3 linked regions of the Anolis sagrei genome follow. The protein of the gene in region 3 binds, or shares a complex with, the protein of the main gene of each other region. Links are inferred from orthologs where the notes say so. Each region holds a gene or a part of one and is shown on either strand. Other genes may lie near its edges.

Region 1 (7,060 bases), on a different chromosome or scaffold from region 3:
TGGAGTTCAGGATGCTCTTTGATTATAGGTGAACTATAAATCCCAGCAACTACAACTCCCAAATTACAAAATAAATCCTCCCCCAACCCCACTAGCATAGTGGGTGCATTGGGTATTTGTGCCCAGTTTGGTCCAGTGAATGAAAATACATCTTGCACATCTGCTATTTAATTATGATTTATAACAGTAGTAAAATGACTGTTATGAAGCAGCAACAAAAACAATGTTATGGTTGGGGGTCACCACCACTGTTATGTATTAAGGGGTCACGGCATTAGGCAATGTTATGTATTAAGGGGTCACGGCATTAGGAAGGTTGAGAACCACTGGTTTAGGGCTTTGTAGGTAAGCACCTGCACCTTGAATTGGGTTCGGTAGGTAAACGGCAGCCAGTGGAGCTCCTTAAACAGGAGGATTGACCTCTCTCTGTAAGGAGCCCCAGTTAATATCCTGGACCAACTGAAATTTCTGAGCCGTCTTCAAGGGCAGCCCCACGTAGAGCGCATTACAGTAGTCCAGTCTAGAGGTGACCAAGGCATGGACCACCCCGGCCAAATCAGCCTTCACGAGGTACGGTCGCAGTTGGTGCACGAGTCTCAATTGTGCAAAAACCCTCCCGGACACTGCCGACACCTGAGCCTCAAGCGTGAGCGATGAATCCAAGAGGACTCCCAAGCTGCGGACCTGTGGCTTCAGGGGGAGTGTAACCCCGTCCAGCACAGGTTGCCACCCTAGACCCCTTGACCAAGAGGACCTCTGTCTTGTCGGGATTGATCTTCAGCTTGTTCCTCCTCATCCAGATAGACACAGCGGCCAGGCACTCGTCCAGCACTTGAGGGGCTTCCTTGGAGTTAGGTGGAAAGGAGTAGCAGAGTTGGGCATCATCTGCGTAGAGGTGGCACCCAACTCCAAAACTCCGGATGACCTCTCCCAGCGGTTTCATGTAGATCAGTGGTTCTCAACCTTCCTAATGCCGTGACCCCTTAACACAGTCCCCCATGTGGTGGTGACCCCCAACCATAATATTGTTTTGCTACTTCATAACAGTCATTTTACTACTGTTATAAATCATAATGTAAATATCTGATCTGCAGGATGCATTTTCGTTCACTGGGCCAAACTGGGCACAAATACCCAATACGCCCAAATGTGAATGCTAGTGGGGTTGGGGGAGGATTGCTTTTGTAATCTGGGAGTTGTAGTTGCTGGGATTTATAGTTCACCTTTAATCAAAGAGCATTCTGAACTCCACCAGCAATGGATTTGAAATTAATTTGGCACACAGAACTCCCATGACCAATGGAAAATACTGGAAGAGTTTGGTGGACATTGACCTTGAGTTTGGGAGTTGTACTTCACCTATAGCCAGAGAGCACTGTGGACTCACACAATGGTGGATCTGGACCAAACTTGGCACAAATACTCAATATGTCCAAATGTGAACACTGGTGGAGTCTGGGGAAAATAGACCTTGACTTTTGGGAGTTGTAGTTGCTGGGATTTATAGTTCACTACAATCAAAGAACATTCTGAACCCCACCAATGATAGAATTAGCTCAAACTTCCCACATGGAATCCCCATGACCATCAGAGAATACTGTGTTTTCTGATGATCTTTGGTGACCCCTCTGACACCCCCTCACGACCCCCTCAAGGGTCCCGACCCCCAGGCTGAGAAACACTGATGTAGATGTTAAAAAGCATGGGGGACAGAATGGAGCCTTGCAGGACCCCACAGGTCAACGGCCAGGAGTCCAAGCAGGCGTCTCCCAGCTTCACCATCTGGGTCCGTCCCTCCTGGAAGGACCGGAGCCACGACAGGACCGTGCCCCCGAGACCCATCCCGGAGAGACAACCCAAAAGGATACCATGATCGATGGTATCGAAAGCCGCTGAGATGTCCAAGCGAACACTCCCCCTGTCCAGCTCTCTATAGTAATAAAATAAAAATATAAAATAATAGCAATAAAATAACAATAGTAATATAAAATACTAGCAATAAAGTAATAACATAAAATAATAGTAATAAAATAATAATAATATAAAATGCTAGCAATAAAATAAAAATATAAAATAATAGCAATAAAATAACAATAGTAATATAAAGTAATAGTAATATAATAATATAAAATAATGGCAATAAAATTAAAATATACAATAACAATAATAATACAAAATAATAGTAATAAAATAAGAATAATATAAAATAATAGCAAAAATAATAATATAAAGTAATAGCAACAAAATAATAATAATAATATAAAATGCTAGCAATAAAATAATATAAAATAATAGCAAAAATAACAATATAAAATAATAGCAAAAATAACAATACTATAAAATAATAGTACCGTAATAAAATAATAGCAATAAAATAATAATATAAAATAATAGTAATAATATAAATAATATAAAATAATAGTGATAAAATAAAATAATATAAAATAATAGCAATGAAATAATAATATAATGTAATAGAAATAATAATAGTAATATAAAATAATAGCCATAAAATAACAATAATATAAAATAATAGTAATAAAATAATAATAATATAAAATAATAGTAATAAAATAATAATAAGTTATAATATAAAATAATAGTAACAAAGTAAAATAATAGCAATAAAATTATAATATAAAATAATACCAATAAAATAATAATATAAAATGATAGTAATAAAATAATAATAATATAAATAATAATATAAATAATATAAAATAATAGTAATAAAATAATATAATATAAAATACTAGCAATAAAATAATGGTATAATATAATAGCAATAATAATAGTAATATAAAATAATAGTAATAATATAAATAATAATATAAATAATAGTAATAAAATAAAATAATAGCAATAAAATTATAATATAAAATAATAGCAATAAAATAACAATAATAATATAAAATGCTAGCAAGGGAAGGCCCAAGTTGGCCCAGGCCTGAGGCCTTGAGGAATGATGGGAGTTGGAGTCCAAAAACACCTCAAGGGAAGGCCCAGGTTGGCCCAGGCCTGAGGCCTTGAGGAATGATGGGAGTTGGAGTCCAGCAACACCTCAAGGGAAGGCCCAAGTTGGCCAGGCCGGGCCTAGCGGGACCCCAGAAGCCTAAAGTAGAGTAGCAATCCCTGTCATGTCTTGGAAAGCGCCACTCCCTTCGCCTCGCCTCCTCATTGGCTCCCCTTGACTCCCCTTTCCCCATCCTCGTCCTCCGATTGGCTCTCCCTCCTGTCACTCCGAGGAAATCCCCCCGCCCCCGCTCTTACTACCTTCTCTCTCTCAGTTTCCCTCAGCGAGGCATCCTCTCTGCACACGCTGTCCACGCGCCGCCGGCCGCGCGCTGATTGGTCCGCCGGGTTGTAAACACGGCGCGTCGGCCAATGGGAGCGCTGTGCACGAGGGCAGCACGAGGGCGGCATGGAGATCAACAGGAAGGGCGGGGGTATAAAAGGGAGACTCCGGGGCGGAGCTGGCCAGACGCCGAGAAGGCAGCCGAGGGGAAGGAGCTCCTCAGCGCGCAACATAATCATTTTTTTGGGGCAAAAAGGGCTATTTTGGAGATTCTTTTAACATTATAGGAAATCATTACTATATTATACTAATATAATTTCCTATATTTAATATTATAGGAAGTTATTATTGGATAATAATTCATAATAATTACTAAAATTGGCAGTTTGGGAAATAAAAAATACTTCTGAGTTATTACTATTATTGTAATTAAAATATAGTATATAATTTGGATTTTTGGGGAATTAAAAATACTTTATTACTATTATAGTAATTATAATATTACTATTATAGTAATTTTATATAATTTGGATTTTTGGGGAATTAAAAGTACTTCAGATTTATTACTATTATAGTAGTATATAATTTGGATTTTGGGGGAATTAAAAATACTTTATTACTATTATAGTAATTATAATACACTGATAATTGATTTCAATTGGCTGTTATATATTGCATATAATTACTGAAATTATTTTAATTTTTTTTAGAAATTTATCGTAATTGGGAAATTTATAGAATCTAAAAATATTTGAGAAATTTATCATAACTGGCAAATTTAAAAGACTCAAAATACTTCAGAATTTATTCTAATTGGGAAATTTATAGAATCTAAAAATATTTTTTGAAATTTATTCTAATTGGGAAATTTAAAAGAATCTAAAAATATTTTTTAAATTTACTATAATTGGCAAATTTATATATATTTGCCCCCTTTTTATGCTCCATTGGGAGGCACAACAAGACCCCCGTGCCCCTTTCGTGTGGTCAGTTGACCCCTTGAGCGTTTGGCCCATTTGATCAGGAGGACAAAACCAAGGTGTGAGCCATGGTGATGTTCAAGAAGCTGAAGGTCTTCCAGCTGTCCTTCTCCGAACCAGACGAGAAGGTCTACGGGAGCGGCGAGAAGGTCTGCGGCCGTGTTGAGGTCCAGGTCTCGGAGGTCACGCGGGTCACGGCCTTGCGCCTCCTGGCCTGCGGGGTGGCCAAGGTCTGCTGGACCGCCGGGCCGCAGCAGCGCAAGCAGTGCATGGAGTACCTGCGCTATGAAGAGGAGCTACACCTGGAGGACCAACCTCAAGGTGAGCATCTCCTGATTTCCTACAGCAAGTACGGGCCAGATTTGGCCCTCCGGGTGGTCAACAGTAAAAATGTGGGAGTGGGGTTAAATAAATGGGAAGGTGAGCATCTTCTAAGGAAGGTACGGGCCAGATCTGGGCCTCCAGGTGGTTTGGACTCCCAAGTCAACAATGCAAGGGTGGAAGTGAGATTCAATAAATAGGAAGGTGAGCATCTTCTAAAGAAGGTACAAGCCAGATCTGGACCTCCAGGTGGTTTGGACTTCAGATCAACAGTGAAAATGTGGGAGTCGGGTAAAAGGAATGGAAAGGTGAGCATCTTCTAAAGAAGGTATGGGCCAGATCTGGACCTCCAGGTGGTTTGGAGTCCCAAGTCAACAATGAAAGGGTGGAAGTTGGGTTCAATAAATAGGAAGGTGAGCATCTTCTAAGGAAGGTACGGGCCAGATCTGGACCTCCAGGTGGTTTGGATTCCCAAGTCAACAGTGAAAATGTGGGAGTTGGGTTAAATAAATAGGAAGGTGAACATCTCCTGAAGAAGGTATGATCCAGATTTGGCCCTCCAGGTGGTTTGGAGTCCCAAGTCAACAATGAAAGGGTGGAAGTGGAGTTCAATAAATAGGAAGGTGAGCGTCTTCTAAAGAAGGTATGGGCCAGATCTGGACATCCAGGTGGTTTGGAGTCCCAAGTCAACAATGAAAGGGTGGAAGTGGGATTCAATAAATAGGAAGGTGAGCATCTTCTAAAGACGGTACGGACCAGATCTGGACATCCAAGTGGTTTGGACTCACAAGTCAACAATGAAAGGTTGGGGGTGGGGTTCAATAAATAGGAAGGTGAGCATCTCCTAAAGAAGGTAATCTTTCAGAGTTGGCCAGGCCCGTTCCGAAGTATCGTTCTCCCATTGCTAGGTCTGGGAAGTCTGCACAAAGGTCACACAATTTGGATGGTCAGTGTCAAAACCAGGCCGAGCTGGACGCTGAGAGTCTTGAGACAGAAGGACGGACAGGAGAAAGGAGCAATAATAATAACTCTTAATCGCTCCTGTCCACCTGCTGCTACTGGCGTTTGGCAGCTGTGACGATCTGGATCGAGGGTGTACGTATCGAAATTGGATCCAGACAAGACGGGAGTACATCCTGGTCAGCCAAAAGGCCAAACAGGGTCTAGGGTTACGGGTCTGGGCAGTGGCCAGGGGACCTTTTGCACAGTTAAGACTTGTGCCCGTACATTGAGAAGCCAGTCTTGGCCACGCTCTTGTTACATTCCCCGAATAGACTACTGCAACGCGCTCTGGGTGGGGCTGCCTTTGAAGACTGTTCAGAAGCTTCAAATGATCCAATGCAGCAGCGGGCATAGAGATCTTGTTTGTTGTGTATCAAGCAATAATAAAAAATAATAACATAGCTACTTTATAAATAACCACTTTGAGTCTCCTTCGTGGAGAGGAAAAGAGGAATATAAGTAAACATCGTAATAATACGGTTGTTTTGAGAGGTCTTTTTTGTAAACAGTTAACAAAAGAATGGGTTGCGGTTTCCAATGATTCATGGCTTAAAATAGATGTCAACAGAATCTGTTCAGCAAGAGATCAGTGGAATGAGCTCAACTGCTCATTAAGGAGTTATGTTGAATGATATGGGTGACTATATATATTATATATATATATATGTATATAAAAATGAAGATTCAAACTGCATTGTCCGTACAGTCAGGGTAGATCCAGCTTGTGTTGGATCTTTGGGTTCATAGCTTGGTTGTGTTTACATGTGTTTCTAGGCACTTATCTTATTTATTATTTATTATCTTGGTTTGCATATTTGAAAAATAGATACGTAGGGTGCACCTACAGTGTAGAAATGAATGCGGTTCGATGCCCTTTTGAAAGTGGTTTGACACCACTGTAATATATTATATGTGTGGTTTGATACCACTGCAATATATTATATATGCATATTAGGCTTGGGCAATCCGTGGTTCTAAATGGTTCTAAAGTACTTACAAAACTAAAGTTCTGGTGGTGAAAATTTCAGAACTCTTAACAAAACTTTCAAAATTTAATTATTATTTAATTATTGGTGATTTTAATGACAGAACCAATTAGGAACTGCCATTTATTATGAAATTTTGAGAGTTTTGTTAGAGTTCTGAAATTTTCACCACCAGAACTTTAGTTTTGTAAGTACTTTAGAACCATTTACAACCATGGATTGCCCAAGCCTAATGCGTATTATATGTGTGTATGTATATAGTGTAATATTTGTTTGTGGGATTAACATAGCTCAAAAACCACTGGACAAATTGACACCAAATTTGGACACAATACTCGTATTAGGCCAACAAGTGACCATCACTCATAAAAACACTGAAAAACAGAATAGAAGAGACTTAAAAAGCCCCAAAAAATTACAACACATGCACAAAACCACTTATACATATATACACACACACACGTAAGACATATACA
Region 2 (7,703 bases), on a different chromosome or scaffold from region 3:
CAGATAATCTGCAAAAAAAGTTACTTGCTAACAAGCTTAGAAAGCATCTCAAAGATAACCTTGTGAATTTTTTTCACCCACAAGATATTTCTACCCTACACTTGAAGACTGTGTCATATGATGAACACAGTAGGTTGCCATTTTTAAGTGGATGGCTCAGTAGTATTTAATGAATGTGATGAAGTGGATAGTGTCCTGTAATTCAAAGTCAATTTGAGAGCAATTATAAAAAACAAACCACTCTTGCCAATAGCCACTCTGCCCCCTAAAGGCTACTGTCATGCAAATGATACTCAAAAGATACAAAGATCTATGAAATAATGCCAAAACTTCAGGTTAGGATATCCTTTCCAAAAGACAACAGTTCCTCTCTTATGTCAAGTTCACATTACCATGGAACGTCTTTAAAAAAAAAAACTAGCCTGGGCTTCCCATTCCCACCAATGAAAGAGAATAAAAGCAAAACAATATGTAGGTCAAAGTTCACCATAGTTTATAGAGGGGGGAATCAATGAACAAGCACCAATTTTTCCAGAACTGTAACCAGGGAAATTGAAATGCAATGTGCTAATCAGAATATCTGGTTCTTAGACAAAGAATAAAACACACATCTGTAATCACTTGAATTGAAACAATATTTTAAAGGCTTGTTGTGAGTTTTCCGGGCTGTATGGCTATGTCCCAGAAGCATTCTCTCCTGACGTTTTGCCCACATCTATGGCAGGCATCCTCAGAGGTTGTGAGCTCTGTTGGAAACTGGACATTCCAGATATATAAACCACACTTGCCTAGTTTCCAACAGACCTCACAACCTCTGAGAGTGCCTGCCATATATGTGGGCAAAATGTCAGGAGAGAATGCAACCCAGTAATTCCGGCCATGAAAGCCTTTGGCAACATAATATTTAAAAGAACAAACATTCAAGAATATTATGGTTTTTACATGAATATTATGGATTTTCCAAGAATATTATGAATCTTACAAAAATATTGTGAATTTTACATTTTGAGACAAGAAAAAAAACCCCACACAAACCAATATTTTTTCCAATTTGAACAGATTTAGAAAGCATCAAGTAATGAAATCTCAAAACTAAAATCTTGGAGAATAACACACACAAACTGTGCCTTTGCAAATTAGGTCAGCATGTTGCAACGCGAAGTGCTAGAGAGACACACCTCATTTAAAAAAGGACTTATTTAAGCAACAGGGACTGTAGTGGCTCCTTCTAGTCTACCCATCTAATATTGCACATCATTATATCCACATCATAGAGACTTCTGACATAAATCTTGTGAAGGCTTTGACATCCCATTCAAAACGAGGGCCCGAGAGCTTGTCCATCCTGTCAATAGCCAGCCCTGAGTGTGGTGGAGGCTCCTTCTTTGGAGGCCTTCTTTGGAGGCTGGATGGCCATCTCTCTGAGGTGCTTTGAATGCTATTTCCCTGCTTCTTGACAGGGGGTTGGACTGGATGGCCCACAAGGTCTCTTCCAACTCTAGGATTCTATGACTATCAAAGAGGCCAGAAAATTGGCCTTTGGATCTGAAAAAGACTCCTAGCATCAAAACCATGCGCCTTGTTCATAGACCGCGAAGGGATCCCATTGGAGGCCCTTCATCCCTGCTGTAAAAGCTTCCTGCCTCTTGGCCTTGATGTGATTTCTCATTAAAGAACAAGGGATGCCCTAAAACGAGCATGTTTTCATTCAAACAGGATGGGGGGAAAAGAGCCACCATCTGCTGTAGATCTATCAGGTGGGGCTGAGCATCGCTCCTAGGGCAGTGCACGGTTTTGTGGGCGATCTGGGCCCAACCACATGTGTTTTGTCATGATTGAGAACCAAAGGAAAGCTCCTTTTGGGAGGGGTCCACCTCCCAAGGCAGGCAGGAGCTGCTCAGCCCCAAACTCTGTCTCCCTCCCAAGAGAGAAGCCCCCTCCCATGCCTTGACAATGGCGCCTTCCCAGCGAGAAGGGAAGGATGTCAATGCGAGGGGGTGAGGAAATAGGGTGGGGAGGGGGCTCCCCTTAAAAAGACCCCCGTTTCCTGCCTCTGCAAGGCTAATGCGGGACAAAGGAAAGTGCTGGGCATTTCCCCCAGCCTCTCTTGTCTTCCCCAGTCTGGAGGGCTTTGCGGAAAGCGGATCGGGAGGGGGAGGAAAAGGGGGGTGTCGCTTGATCCTGCCCAGATCCGAAACTGTGCCATGCGGGAGATGAGGGTGGGGGGTGGGATACTGGGGGAAGCAAAGGAAAGGAGGAGAGAGAGAGAGAGAGACCCCCAACCTCATCCTATACCCAGGGGATAGTGGATACTAGGGGAAAGGAGCAAGGGGAGAAAGGGAGAGGGAGACCCCACCAGCCTCATCCTAGACCCAGGTTCCCCCTCTCAGTCTCAGTCTCAGTCTCAACCCCCTTCCCCCCCTTCCGCGCAGGGTTGGAAAGCGGGGGGTCCGCGTCCGATCCGGACTCACCTTGTCGATGGTGCCGGGGAGGAGGCGGTCGAGGAGCCTGCAGAGCACCACGCCGTCCTTGAGCGAGGCCTGCAGGAAGCCCTCCGGGTCCGAGATGCTCTTCTTGGGCGACTCCAGCACCCCCAGGGTGATCAGCCATGTAACGGTCTGCTCCGCGGAATTCATGGCTGCGGCGGAGGAGGCCAAGCAGAGGAAAGGCGGCGAGGGGAGGGGAGCCAGGCCCCGGAACCCTTTATCCCAATCCAATCCAGGGGGGGGGGGCAGCAGGGCTGCACAAATAGCACGGCTGGGGGCGTCTAATTTCTCAATAATCGGAGGGGGGGGGCGGTTGATGTCTTGGGGAAGACCCCTCTGCCTGCCTTGCCTGCCTCCCTCCCTCGCTCGCTCGGCAGCCAGCCCACCTTCCTCCCGGGCTTCACATGGAGGAGGCGCCCCGCTCCGGGCCTGGCTGCCTCCTCCTGGCCATGGAGCCGCGGGGGGCCGGCCCGGTTCCTCCCTCCTCCGGAGCCTCTGGGCCCAGGGACAGGCGCCTCCTCATTACAGGCACACACGGACCTGCAGGGCCGCCACCGCCGCCGCCGCCTCTATCCTCCTCCCTCCTCCTCCTCCTCCTCTTCCCCTCCTCCCTCCCTCCCTCCTGCTGCCTCTCCATGACATCATTGAGGAGGGAGGGGATGGGGAGGGGAGGGGGAGAGGAGAGGAGGAGGAGGAGAAGGAGGCTCAGCCCCCCTCCTCTCCTCCAGGAGCCCCCGCATAAAAGCCGCCACCCTTGCCTTGGCCAAGGCGCTGAGGATGGAGGGATGGGTGTGGGTCACCCTTATGGGCACCCGCAGAGAGACCTGCCCCGCGTCTCCCTCTCTGCGCTGCGAAACCTGCCCCCCCCCCCGCCCTCAAAACCGGCGTCCACGGGATCCCTTTGCTTCGCTTTCCATCCCGAGGAGGGCGGGGCGGGGGGGGGGGGAGAGGATAGATGTAGGTAAGTAGGTAGTAGGTAGGTAGCTCTATAGACAGATCTAGGTAGATAGGCAGGCAGGCAGACAGACCTAGGTAGAGAGGTAGGTCTATACAAATAGACAGACAGATCGATCGATCGATCTAGGGAGATAGGTAGGTCTGTATAAATAGACAGATCTAGGTAGATAGGTAGGTCTGTGTAAATAGACAGATAAATAGATAGACAGGCAGACAGACCTCGATAGATAGATAGATAGATAGATAGATAGATGGATCTGTGTAAATAGATAGATAGATAGATAGATAGATAGATAGATCTAGGTAGATAGGTAGGCCTGTATAATTGACAGATGGACAGATAGATAGATCTAGGTCAATGGTTCTCAATCTGTGGGTCCCCAGGTGTTTTGGCCTACAACTCCCTGAAATCCAAGCCAGTTTACCAGCTTATAGGATTTCTGGGAGTTGGAGGTCAAAACATCTGGGGACCCACAGGTTGAGAACCATTGCTAGGTAGATAGGCAGGTCTGTAAAAACAGATAGCTAGCTAGCTAGATCTAGGTAGATAGGAAGGTCTGTAAGAATAAACAGACAGACAGATCTAGGTAGGTAGGTAGGTCTGTATAGATAGATAGATAGATCTAGTTAGATAGGTAGGCCTGTATATATAGAGGATCAATTGAGAGATAGATCTAGGTAGATAGGTAGGTCTATATAAATAGAGAGATAGATAGATAGATAGATAGATAGATAAGAGATAGATAGGTAGGTCTGGGACCAGAGTGAAGAGAGAGGGCCAGGAAGACAGTTCCACCTCATCTCCTGCGCTATGCTAAATAATTTAATATAATATAATGTACATATACATATAATATTTATAATATTATAATGTAATACAATATAATAATACTACTATGAATAATATGTTATTATAATTATATATTTTATATTACATGTAAAATTGCTATATTGTACTGTACCATTGTATTGTAATATTATTACAATAAGATGGTGTAGTACAATATGTAATATATAATACTGATATTGTGCTATGCTAATAATATAATATATTGTATGTATATATATCTTGTAAGCTGCTCTGAGTCCCCTTCAAAGTGAGAAGGGTGGCATATAAATGTCATAAATAAATAAAAACAGATAGGTAGGTAGGTAGATAGATAGATAGGTCTGTAAAAATAGATATAGATAGATAAGAGGTATATAGGTAGGTCTGTAAAAATAGACAGACAGATAGATAAGAGGTAGATAGGTCAGTCTGGATAGATAGATAGATAGATAGATAGATAGATAGATATAGATAGATGTGGTAGGTAGGTCTGTAAAAACAGATGGATAGATAGATCTAGGTAGATAAGTAGGTCTGTATAGACAGATAGATCTAGGTAGATAGGTAGGTCTATAGAAAAAGACAGATAGACAGATAGATAAGAGATAGATACGTAGGTGTGTATTGATAGGTAAATAGGCAGATAGAGTAGATGGATAGAGTTGGGCAGATAGAGAAATAGACAGATCTCGATCAATAGACTGATAGATAGATCCATGTATCTAGATAGAGAAATAGATGGCTAGATCTATGCACATGGGTAGATAAATGCACATGCGCTCCCTCCTCCTATATACATTGGGAGGGAGGGAGGGAGGGGGGCGCACCGCACACACCAATAGTCGCATCCCGCCAGGTGGCTGAAACACCATGTTAGAGGGAGGAGGGGGGTGTAGCGGCGGCGGCGGCGGCGGCCTTGGTGCGCCTCCCACGACGTGAACCAAACAGATCCACCCAGCTGTCACTTTGCAGCACCAGAATCCGAATTCAATGGGCAGCCCGTTGCCCAAGCTGTCAAGCGCTTGACATGCGATCTCTCCAATTCATTTTAAGAGCACTAAGGGAAAGGGGAGCGGCGGGGGGGGGGGTGTTATTTCAGCGGAGCCTCCTCCCCACCCCATCCCGTCGACCGACCATGCGGATCCCTCCCGGGCCACCTGAAGGAGCGGGGGAATCTATCGGTCACGAATTAGATTTCGGGTCTGTATTCAGCAGGCTGGGATCCGGCCTCGGGCGCCCCCTGGCGACGAATTGCTTTGCGCAAAGGCGCGAGTGAATGAGCTCATCCCATGGAAATAGCAGCAGCAGCAGCTAGAGGTAGGAAAGGAAACGGGGGGGGGGGGGGGGGGCTTGGGCTTCTTCCTTTTCCTGGCGGCAGAGAAACCTCACAGACAAATGAACTGGTTTCCTGTCTCTAGGAATAGATTTTTAAAGGTATATCTTCTCCCCCCACTTAAAAAAAAAAAAAAAACACTAAAAAGAGCAATAATTACCGATCTTAAAATACATGGAATCACTGATGCAATGACAAATAGACTCCCCCCTAGTCTAAAAAGATTTGAAAATAGACTACCAAAAGCATTAGAAATACAAATTGTTCATTAAACAGTTCCAAATGGATTAAACGTATGGGCATCTTGGCCTGATGTAAACATCAAAGCAAACTTTCACAAACATATTATTATATGTATATGTATTTATATCAGGCATGGGCCAACTTGGGCCCTTCAGTTGTTTTGGGCTTCAACTCCCACCATTCCCAACAGCCAATAGGCTGCTCATGCCTGATTTATATCCTGCTTTCTCACTCTAAAATGAAACCCAAAATGGCTAACAATACATTACACAATTTAAAACCTCAAAAACTTAACACTAAAATAGGATTAAGATAGGAGGACTTGTCACTGCAAGCTATTGTTAATTTTGCCAACTTCATGATATTCATGGGGGGCAATTTATTTTCCTCTATTGCATCCTTAAATATTAAGACTGTTTGTGGATTGTGGGGCAGTTGAAGCTGTAGAGCAGAAGGACCTGACGAATGTTCTGTAACATTTGTAAAATTATAGAGATGCAACAGGTAAATCAAATAACTGAGATAATTCAAATAGGAACCATGTAGATCAGTGATTCCCAATCTGTGGTCCATGGACTACCAGTGGTCCATAAGAACTAAAATATGGTCCACAGTCTCACCATTACTATACCGTTGCAACAAGAGTGACTGGTATCGCAAAACCCTCTTCTAGTGCCAAGGCTGATTAAATATGGTTTTCTGTGGGTGAGCAGATGGCGTCTACTGGATGTCATACGTTCTGGATCACAAACTAGAGCTGATGTGGTCTATCCAATGCAATTTCCTGAATCACCACCTCAGATAACCAAAACGAATCTAAAGTTGACCAAAAACTTATTTGTAACCCTTTTAGTACTAATGTTGGAGAGTGGTCCCTGGTCAAGTGGTCCCTCGTCAAAGAAAGGTTGGGAACCATTGGTATAGATAAACAGTGTGGTTACACATGTCTAAGTTACAAGTAAATGGGCAAAAACTATCAAGTTTACAAAAGGATCAACAGGACAGAAGAGTGCTGAGTCTTCATCCCTTGATGCACACATTTTGTTGATGTGATTGTTGTATGCCTTCAGGTCATTGATGATATAGGGTGATCTTAAGGTTTACTTTCCCCATCCATTACTGGTGTAATCCTTAAATATGAAGACTATTATAATCATAGTGTCTACTGAGAATTGTTACCCCAGATGTCCAATGTACTTCATTCCCAAGGAACTGCACAGAATGGATTGCAGACACCTTTTTTTTTATTCTGGTCAACCCTAAGGTGAGCCTATCATGGGCTTCTCTTGACAAGATTTATTGAAAGTATTTTGCCATCGGCTCCCTCTGGAGCTGAAAGAGTAGGACTTGCTCATGGTCACCGACAATTTTCTATGACAGTGTTTCTCAACCTGGGGGTCGGGACCCCTGGAGGGGTCACGAGGGAGTGTCAGAGGGGTCACCAAAGACCATCAGAATACACAGTATTTTCTGTTGGTCATGGGAGTTCTGTGTGGGAAGTTTGGCCCAATTCTCTCATTGGTGGGATTCAGAATGCTCTTCGATTGCAAGTGAACTATAAATCCCCCCAACTACAACTCCCAAATGTCAAAACACACACACACACCCAACCCCACCAGCATTCAAATTTGAACATATTGAGTATTTGTGCCAAATTTGGTTCGAAGAGTGGAAATACATCCTGCATGTCAGATATTTACATTGCGATTCATAACAGTAGCAAAATTACAGTTATGAAGTAGCAAGGAAAATAATTTTATGGTTGGGGGTCACCACAACATGAGGAACTGTATTAATGGGTCACGGCATTAGTAAGGTTGAGAAACACTGTTCTATGACCAAACAAAGTGGAGTC
Region 3 (7,006 bases):
CTGTTCACAGAAATTATTACTATTACTATAAGAACTTTCAAAAACCTCACATTGAAATTATTTACAAAATGTTTGCATTCTCTCCAAACAATTCCCAATCTTATAAAAGGAGGAGTACAAACTATCTGAACTGTGCCTAAACCAAAAGAAATTCTACCTTTTCTCTTCAAACAAAACAACAGCAGTGACGGAAACTAAGAACTGTTAATGTCAGTATAACAATATTATACTGCACTAACTATATTTTTCACTCTCTTGTACTCTTTTAAGAGCTCAGAGCAGCATTTTGTGTTTGTATACGTGCCTTCAAATTGCCTGTTGTCTCATAGCAACCCCCTGAATTCTATAGGGGTTTCTTAGGCAAGGAATACTCAGAGGCGGTTTTGCCAGTTCCCTCCTCTGAAATATAGCCTACAGCACCTGGTATTTATCAGCAGTCTCCCATCTGAGTATTCATCAGGGCTGACCCCACATAGCTTCCAAGATCAGACAGGATCTGGTGCCTATAGGCTATTTAGACGCTAGAGCCTCACAATAAACATGTGAGATGACAGGAAGGACACAAGAGAGCACCCAGCAAAAACCAGTTCACCGTTCATGCAGAAATTAGGTACCTTGGTAGGATAAACATAACAACAGTGTCAAAGGAGATTGTAAATAAACAGGGCCATGTGCCAAGCCGAGTCCTAGTTGAATAGGACTCCACGGCATCCCATATATGCACAGCACACCCACAAAGTGTCACAGCTAGGTGAGCATTTGATCCAGGGTTTTCCCTTCCAGACTAACCTACCAATTTATCCACTGGCTTCTTTCCAAAGATGGGCGGGATTTCCCAGTAAGTAGTAGCTAGTGCTGCTTTGATATGGCCACTAGATGACAGAGACACATGCAAACCACAGGGAATAAGAACAAGGAATATGTTTTGATACCAATACATCCTGAAGAGGTGGCAGATTAAAGAGCAGAAGAGGAACAGAAAATAGTACCTAGAGGCCTGCTGGCAAGTGAAATTAAAAACCTGGGATTTCCAAAAATCACATCCCTTATCAAATGACATTCCACCTTTCTTCAGACATAGGAGAATATTTTAACTATATTGTACCTGGCTTGAGGCATGAGGAGAGCTGGCTAACAAATACTGTATCATCATCATCATCATCACTACTATTATATTTATTTGCTTTATTTTTATCCTGGCTTTCTTGTGATACAGGGACTCAGGGCTGCTATGTATTTTATGTATTTATATTATATCCTGCCTTCAGCCACGAGGAGAGGCAGGTAACAAATAAAGTATTATTCTTACTATCACTACTACTATTATATTTATTTGCTTGGTTTTTATCCCACCTTTCTCCCTATACAGGGACTCAAGGCAACTATGTATTTAGTGTGTTTAAACTATGTTGTACTCTGCCTTGAGCCTTCAGGAGAGGCAGGTAACTAATACAAGGTGTTATTATTACTACAATTGTCATCATTATTTGCTTTATTGTTATCCCATCTTTTTCTAAATACAGGGACTGGGGGGGGGCAGTAATGTGTTTTAACTATACTGTACTCTGCCTTTGAGACATGTGGAGAGGCTGGTAACAAATACAAGAACTGTATTATTATTATTACCATTAGTTGTTGTTATTTGCTTTATTTTTATCTTACCTTTCTCTCAATACAGGCTACTCAAAGCAGCTATGTATGTTATCATTACTATTGCAGTTGCTGTTATTATTCTTTTATTAGCCTACCTTTCAATACAGGCTACTCCAAGCAGCCTGTATTTTATCATTACCATTAGTGTTATTGTTATTTGCTTTATTATCATCCTACCTTTCTATCAATACAGGGTACTCAAAGCAGCTATGTATTGTATCATTACCATTACTGTTATTGTTATTATTTGCTTTATTATTATCCCACCTTTCTCTCAATGCAGGGACTCAAAGCAGCTATGTATTTTATCATTACCATTAGAGTTATTATTATTATTATTTGCTTTATTACCATCCTACCTTTCTCTCAATGCAGGGACTCAAAACAGCTGTGTATTTTATCATTACCATTAGTGTTGTTATTATTATTTGCGTTATTACCATCCTACCTTTCTATCAATACTGGGTACTCAAAGCAGCTATGCACTGTATCATTACCATTACTGTTATTGTTATTATTTGCTTTATTATTATCCCACCTTTCTCTCAATGCAGGGACTCAAAACAGCTGTGTATTTTATCATTACCATTAGAGCTGTTATTATTATTTGCTTTATTATCATCCTACCTTTCTATCAATACAGGATACTCAAAGCAGCTATGTATTTTTATGCATTTTATCATTACCATTACTGTTGTTGTTATTTGCTTTGCTATTATCATCCTCTCTTTCAATACAGGGTACTCAAAGCAGCTATGTATTTGAACTATAGTATAATCTGTGAGGAGAGGCGGGTCACAAATTAAAATCATCATCATCATCACTATTATAATATATATCTCTGGACAACAGAAGGCCTCAAGATCTGACCAAACAATCGCCTATTATGGAGGGAGGGGGTGAATGAATGGCGGAATTAAAGAAAGAGGGCCTCTCCACCAAGGAATGATAGGCTTCAAAATACAGCCAGGAATCCAGGGAGCGGCGTGCCTCTGAGCTTTTGAGGGAGAGCAAAGGAAGCCAAGGGTTGGGGGTATTTCTTCTTCAACAGTATTCTACTGGGAGGCACCTGAGGCGACCCCCTGCCTCCAGGCCTACTCCCCCAGGCTTCCTCCTTCCTCCTCGTAGACAGCCATCAAGATGCCCACGCCAAAGTCCTCCGCCCCACAGCCCACTCCTCTCCCACCAGGCCCACCCCTGAGGCAGACCCTCCCTGGCTGCCCCTCCGGCCCCGCGGCGCACTTCCTCCTTACCAGCCCGACAGGCGACGGCTTCTCGCCTAAGATGGCAGCCAGTCCAAGTCCAACCTGAGGCGGCGACTCTCCAAAGTCGGGCAGCGCGGGCGCATGCGCAAGAGGCGCGAGGAGCACGAAGGTGGGCGCGGGACTACACGCCCCAGCAGGCCTCGGGAAGGCTCGCGCTCGCTCTGATTGGTTACCGCGGAAAGCCGGGAGGGGAGGGGGAGGGAAGCCTGCTGATTCGGGTGAGAAGGAAGAGCCTGGTTCGACTTGTGGGTTTCGCTTTGATCCTGTTGACGCAGAAGGAAGGGTTTTGACCTTTTGCCCAGCTGTTATGCCGCAACTTTCAAGTACACAAGTCCTTTTATTTCTTTGTGTCACGCTCATGTTTCCAGAAAGGGGCACTGTAGATTTAACACGCTTTGACACCGATTTAATGCTAGGGTAGTGGTGTGGAAATCATCCATAGGACAGATGGCAAGCTATTTAACCTCAGCAGAATGAAAGCCAAAACCATGGTCACAACAACATCTGTTAGAACTCCAATATGCTGATGATAATGTAATCTGTGCTCATTCAGAAGAAGACCTACATGCCACTCGAAATGCCTTGGCAGAAGCATACAAGAAGCGCGGCCTCTCATTTTTTTGTGTGTGTCAGGAGAAAATGCGGAGGCCGTGACAGACTTTGTATTTCTAGGTGCAAAGATTACTGCAGATGCAGACTGGCCAGGAAATCAGAAGACGCTTACTTCTTGGGAGGAGAGCAATGTCCAGTCTCGATAAAATCGTAAAGAGTAGAGACATCACACTGGCAACAAAGATCCGCATAGTCAAGATGCTGAATCCTGAAGATTTGTCACAAAGTAAGAGAAATGACAAAGATCCGCCTAGTCAAAGCCATGGTATTCCCTGTAGTCACCTACAGATGTGAGAGCTGGACCTTAGGGAAGGCTGAGCGAAGGAAGATCAATGCTTTTGAACTGTGGTGTTGGAGGAAAGTGCTGAGAGTGCCTTGGACTGTGAGAAGATCCAACCAGTCCATCCTCCAGGAAATAAAGCCCGGCTGCTCACTGGAGGGAAGGATACTAGAGACAAAGTTGAAGTACTTTGGCCACATCATGAGGAGACAGCAAAGCCTGGAGAAGACAATTATGCTGGGGAAAGTGAAAGGTAAAAGGAAGAGGGGCCGACCAAGGGCAAGATGGATGGATGGCATCCTTGAAGTGACTGGACTGACCTTGAAGGAGCTGGGGGTGGTGACGGCCGACAGGGAGCTCTGGCGTGGGCTGGTCCATAAGGTCACGAAGAGTCGGAGACGACTGAACGAATGAACAACAACAAAACAGGACTGAAGACCGACAGATCGCAGGTTCAAATCCGGGGAGAGCATGGATGAGTTCCCCCTGTTAGCTCCAGCTCCCCATGCAGGGACATGAGAGAAGCCTCCCACAAGGAAGTCATCCATAGGACAGATGGTAAGCTATTTAATATCAGCAGACTGAAAGCCAAAACCATGGTCACAACAACATCTGTTAGACCCCCAATATGCTGATGATAATCTGTGCTCATTCAGAAGACGACCTACAAGCCACTCGAAACACCTTGGCAGAAGCATACAAGAAGCTCGGCCTCTCATTTTTTTGTGTGTGTCAGGAGCGACTTGAGAAACTGCAAGTTGCTTCTGTTGTGAGAGAATTGGCCATCTGCAAGGACCTTGTCCAGGGAATGTCCAGGATGTTTTGATATTTTACCATCCTTGTGGGAGGCTTCTCTCATGTCCCTGTATGGGGAGCTGGAGCTAACAGAGGGAGCTCATCCATGCTCTCCCCGGATTCGAACCTGCAACCTGTCAGTCTTCAGTCCTGCCAGCACAAAGATTTAATCCACTGCGCCACCGGGGGCTCCTTGGTCTCTCATTGAATATCAAGAAAATCGAAGTGCACTTCTAGCAGTCACCAACCAATCCTTCTGCAATGCCAGAAATACAGATTTATTTATTTATTTATTTATTTATTTATTTATTATTTGAACTTATATGCCACCACTCCCCTGGGGCTCAGAGCGGCTTACAAGAACAGGCTAAAATTGAACACAATTTAAAAACAATTTAAAACAATTTAAAAACAGCAATCAAAGATTAATGGTGTAACATTAGAAAATGTTGACCATTTCCGCTATCTTGGCAACCACCTGTCCACAAAAGTCAACATTGGCACTGAAATGCAACACCGTCTCAGCTCTGTGAGTGCAGCATTTTTCTGAATGCAGCAGAGAGTGTTTGAGTATCAGGACATTTGTAGGGAGACCAAAATGCTTGTTTATAAAGCTATTGTCCTCCCAACCCTGTTGTTGCCTGCAAAACATGGACTGTACAAATGTCACACTCAACTCCTGGGATAATTCCATCAGTGCTGCCTCTGGAAAATCCTGCAAATTTCTTGGGAAGACAAGTGGACAAACGTCAGCGTGCTGGAAGAAGCAAAGCCCATCAGCACTGAAGCGATGATCCTCCGCCATCACCTCCACTGGACTAGCCACCATCTCCCAAAGCAGTTACTCTACTCCCAACTGAAGAATGGAAAACTGAATGTTAGTGAAGAGGAAAAGAGATTTAAAGATGGGCTTAAAACCAACCTTAAAAACTGTGCCATAGACACTCAGAACTGGGACGCCCTGGCCCTTGAGCGCTGTAACTGGAGATTAGCTGTGACGAACAGTGCTGTGACATTTGAAGAGGCATGAATGGAGGCCGAAAGGGAGAAACATGTCAAGAGCAAGACGCGTCAAGAGGAAGATGCGTTTCTCCCTTCCGCCAGTCCTGACCGAGACCATCTTTCATCTGGAAACCAACCTACTCACTGTGGAAGAACATGAGGCTCAAGAATAGATCTCCACAGTCACCTATGGACCTACGGTCAATACCTTACCCTTGGAAGGCCATCCTACTCGAACACAAATAATCGCTGATGATGTGTGATTGTGGTACAAAGCCTTTAGCTTTCTCTGCCAAAGAGTACTGCTGCCTCATGCAAACTACAACTCCCAAGGTACCATAACATTGAACCAGGACACTTAAAGTGGGATCAAACTATTAATTTTTACAATGGAGATGCATTCTCAAATGGTCCAAGGAACTTATTTTATGGAAATTCCATTCAGGTTGTTTACACCAAGCACCTCTAGTCATGCAGTAGCAAGACAGTTTTTACAAGAAATACTCTTGGTTTTGGAGATGTCATAACGAAACAAGTCTTTAAGAAATGAATTCATCTTGAAGCTTTGGCAGATAAGGCCCTTTCTACACTGTCCTTATATCCCAGGATCTGATCCCAGGTTGTCTGCTTTGAGCTGGATTGTATGAGTTTCCACTGTCATATAATATGGGATAAACACTTATTTTGTGTACATTACATTGCCCCACTGTTTTTTCCAATAGGTGTGTGAGCACCCCGCACCCCACCCTGCCGGACACAGATGGCCTCGATAAGCTGAAGGTTTGCCAGAATCTTGCCTGCCTATTATCGTCAGCACTCACCTTGTACATGGTGGGTTGGGACGAAGGATTCCTACTGATAAGAACTGAACAAAAGGGGGTTGCAGGGTGGGGACATGGACCATGATGTGAAATTGTCTGGTTGAGTGATGCCCCAAAAGGGTGGCACAGCACTGTGAAACTATCAAAGAGAATGTGCTATCATTGCTCAGGGTTCCTCCATTTTGGTGGCACCCCTAGAGCTTCAGTTCTCTGTATTATTCTATCTTTTTAAAGTGTTTCAGAATAAAACTTTCTGACTGCAAGAAATGCCTGGTTATTTTGATGGCCATGTCTCTAAAGCTATGCCTTTAAAGAGATTGGGGTGACAGGTGCACCATGTCAATTTGCATGATTGAGAGCAGGACATACATTATTGCAGTACTAAATGGATATTTAAATAGGAGAGGGCAATAAATGGTCTAAGCTGGTTGCTTGGATATATATTCACTGGAAGAGTGGAAAAGAGAAAGATTTGGCTTGTGTTGAAAAGCCAGCTATTAATGTAAATATAGTATATAGGATATCTGTGAAAATTGAGAAGTGTATATTTTTCAGAGTTAAATGGGGTCATTGGAAAG

The links.
Region 1: the proteins of ITCH (region 3) and TXNIP are in contact, whole or in part, in a crystal structure (PDB 5CQ2), measured with the Homo sapiens proteins. The link is inferred for Anolis sagrei from reciprocal best matches to the Homo sapiens genes ITCH and TXNIP. Residues at the interface, in NP_001244066.1 of Homo sapiens: Glu485, Arg487, Thr489, Tyr495, Val497, Asp498, His499, Arg502, Thr503, Thr504, Thr505, Tyr506, Leu516; in NP_006463.3 of Homo sapiens: Pro328, Glu329, Ala330, Pro331, Pro332, Cys333, Tyr334, Val337, Ile338.
Region 2: the proteins of ITCH (region 3) and ARHGEF7 are in contact, whole or in part, in a crystal structure (PDB 5SXP), measured with the Homo sapiens proteins. The link is inferred for Anolis sagrei from reciprocal best matches to the Homo sapiens genes ITCH and ARHGEF7. Residues at the interface, in NP_001244066.1 of Homo sapiens: Arg252, Pro253, Pro254, Arg255, Pro256, Arg258, Pro259, Pro260, Pro261, Pro262, Thr263, Pro264, Arg266; in NP_001106983.1 of Homo sapiens: Phe193, Phe195, Thr198, Asp201, Glu202, Arg215, Glu217, Glu218, Gly219, Gly220, Trp221, Glu223, Thr230, Trp232, Pro234, Asn236, Tyr237.

The regions. Positions count from the first base shown.
Region 1 is NC_090032.1:21,931,747-21,938,806, forward strand, and holds the start of TXNIP (thioredoxin-interacting protein), read left to right. Parts: upstream 1-4,056; 5' UTR 4,057-4,343; coding exon 4,344-4,596; intron 4,597-7,060. UniProt on the Homo sapiens protein: May act as an oxidative stress mediator by inhibiting thioredoxin activity or by limiting its bioavailability.
Region 2 is NC_090023.1:109,923,649-109,931,351, forward strand, and holds the start of ARHGEF7 (rho guanine nucleotide exchange factor 7), read right to left. Parts: upstream 3,005-7,703; 5' UTR 2,637-3,004; coding exon 2,472-2,636; intron 1-2,471. UniProt on the Homo sapiens protein: Acts as a RAC1 guanine nucleotide exchange factor (GEF) and can induce membrane ruffling. Functions in cell migration, attachment and cell spreading. Promotes targeting of RAC1 to focal adhesions. May function as a positive regulator of apoptosis.
Region 3 is NC_090024.1:210,561,227-210,568,232, reverse strand, and holds the start of ITCH (E3 ubiquitin-protein ligase Itchy homolog), read right to left. Parts: upstream 3,003-7,006; 5' UTR 2,907-3,002; intron 1-2,906. UniProt on the Homo sapiens protein: Acts as an Acts as an E3 ubiquitin-protein ligase which accepts ubiquitin from an E2 ubiquitin-conjugating enzyme in the form of a thioester and then directly transfers the ubiquitin to targeted substrates.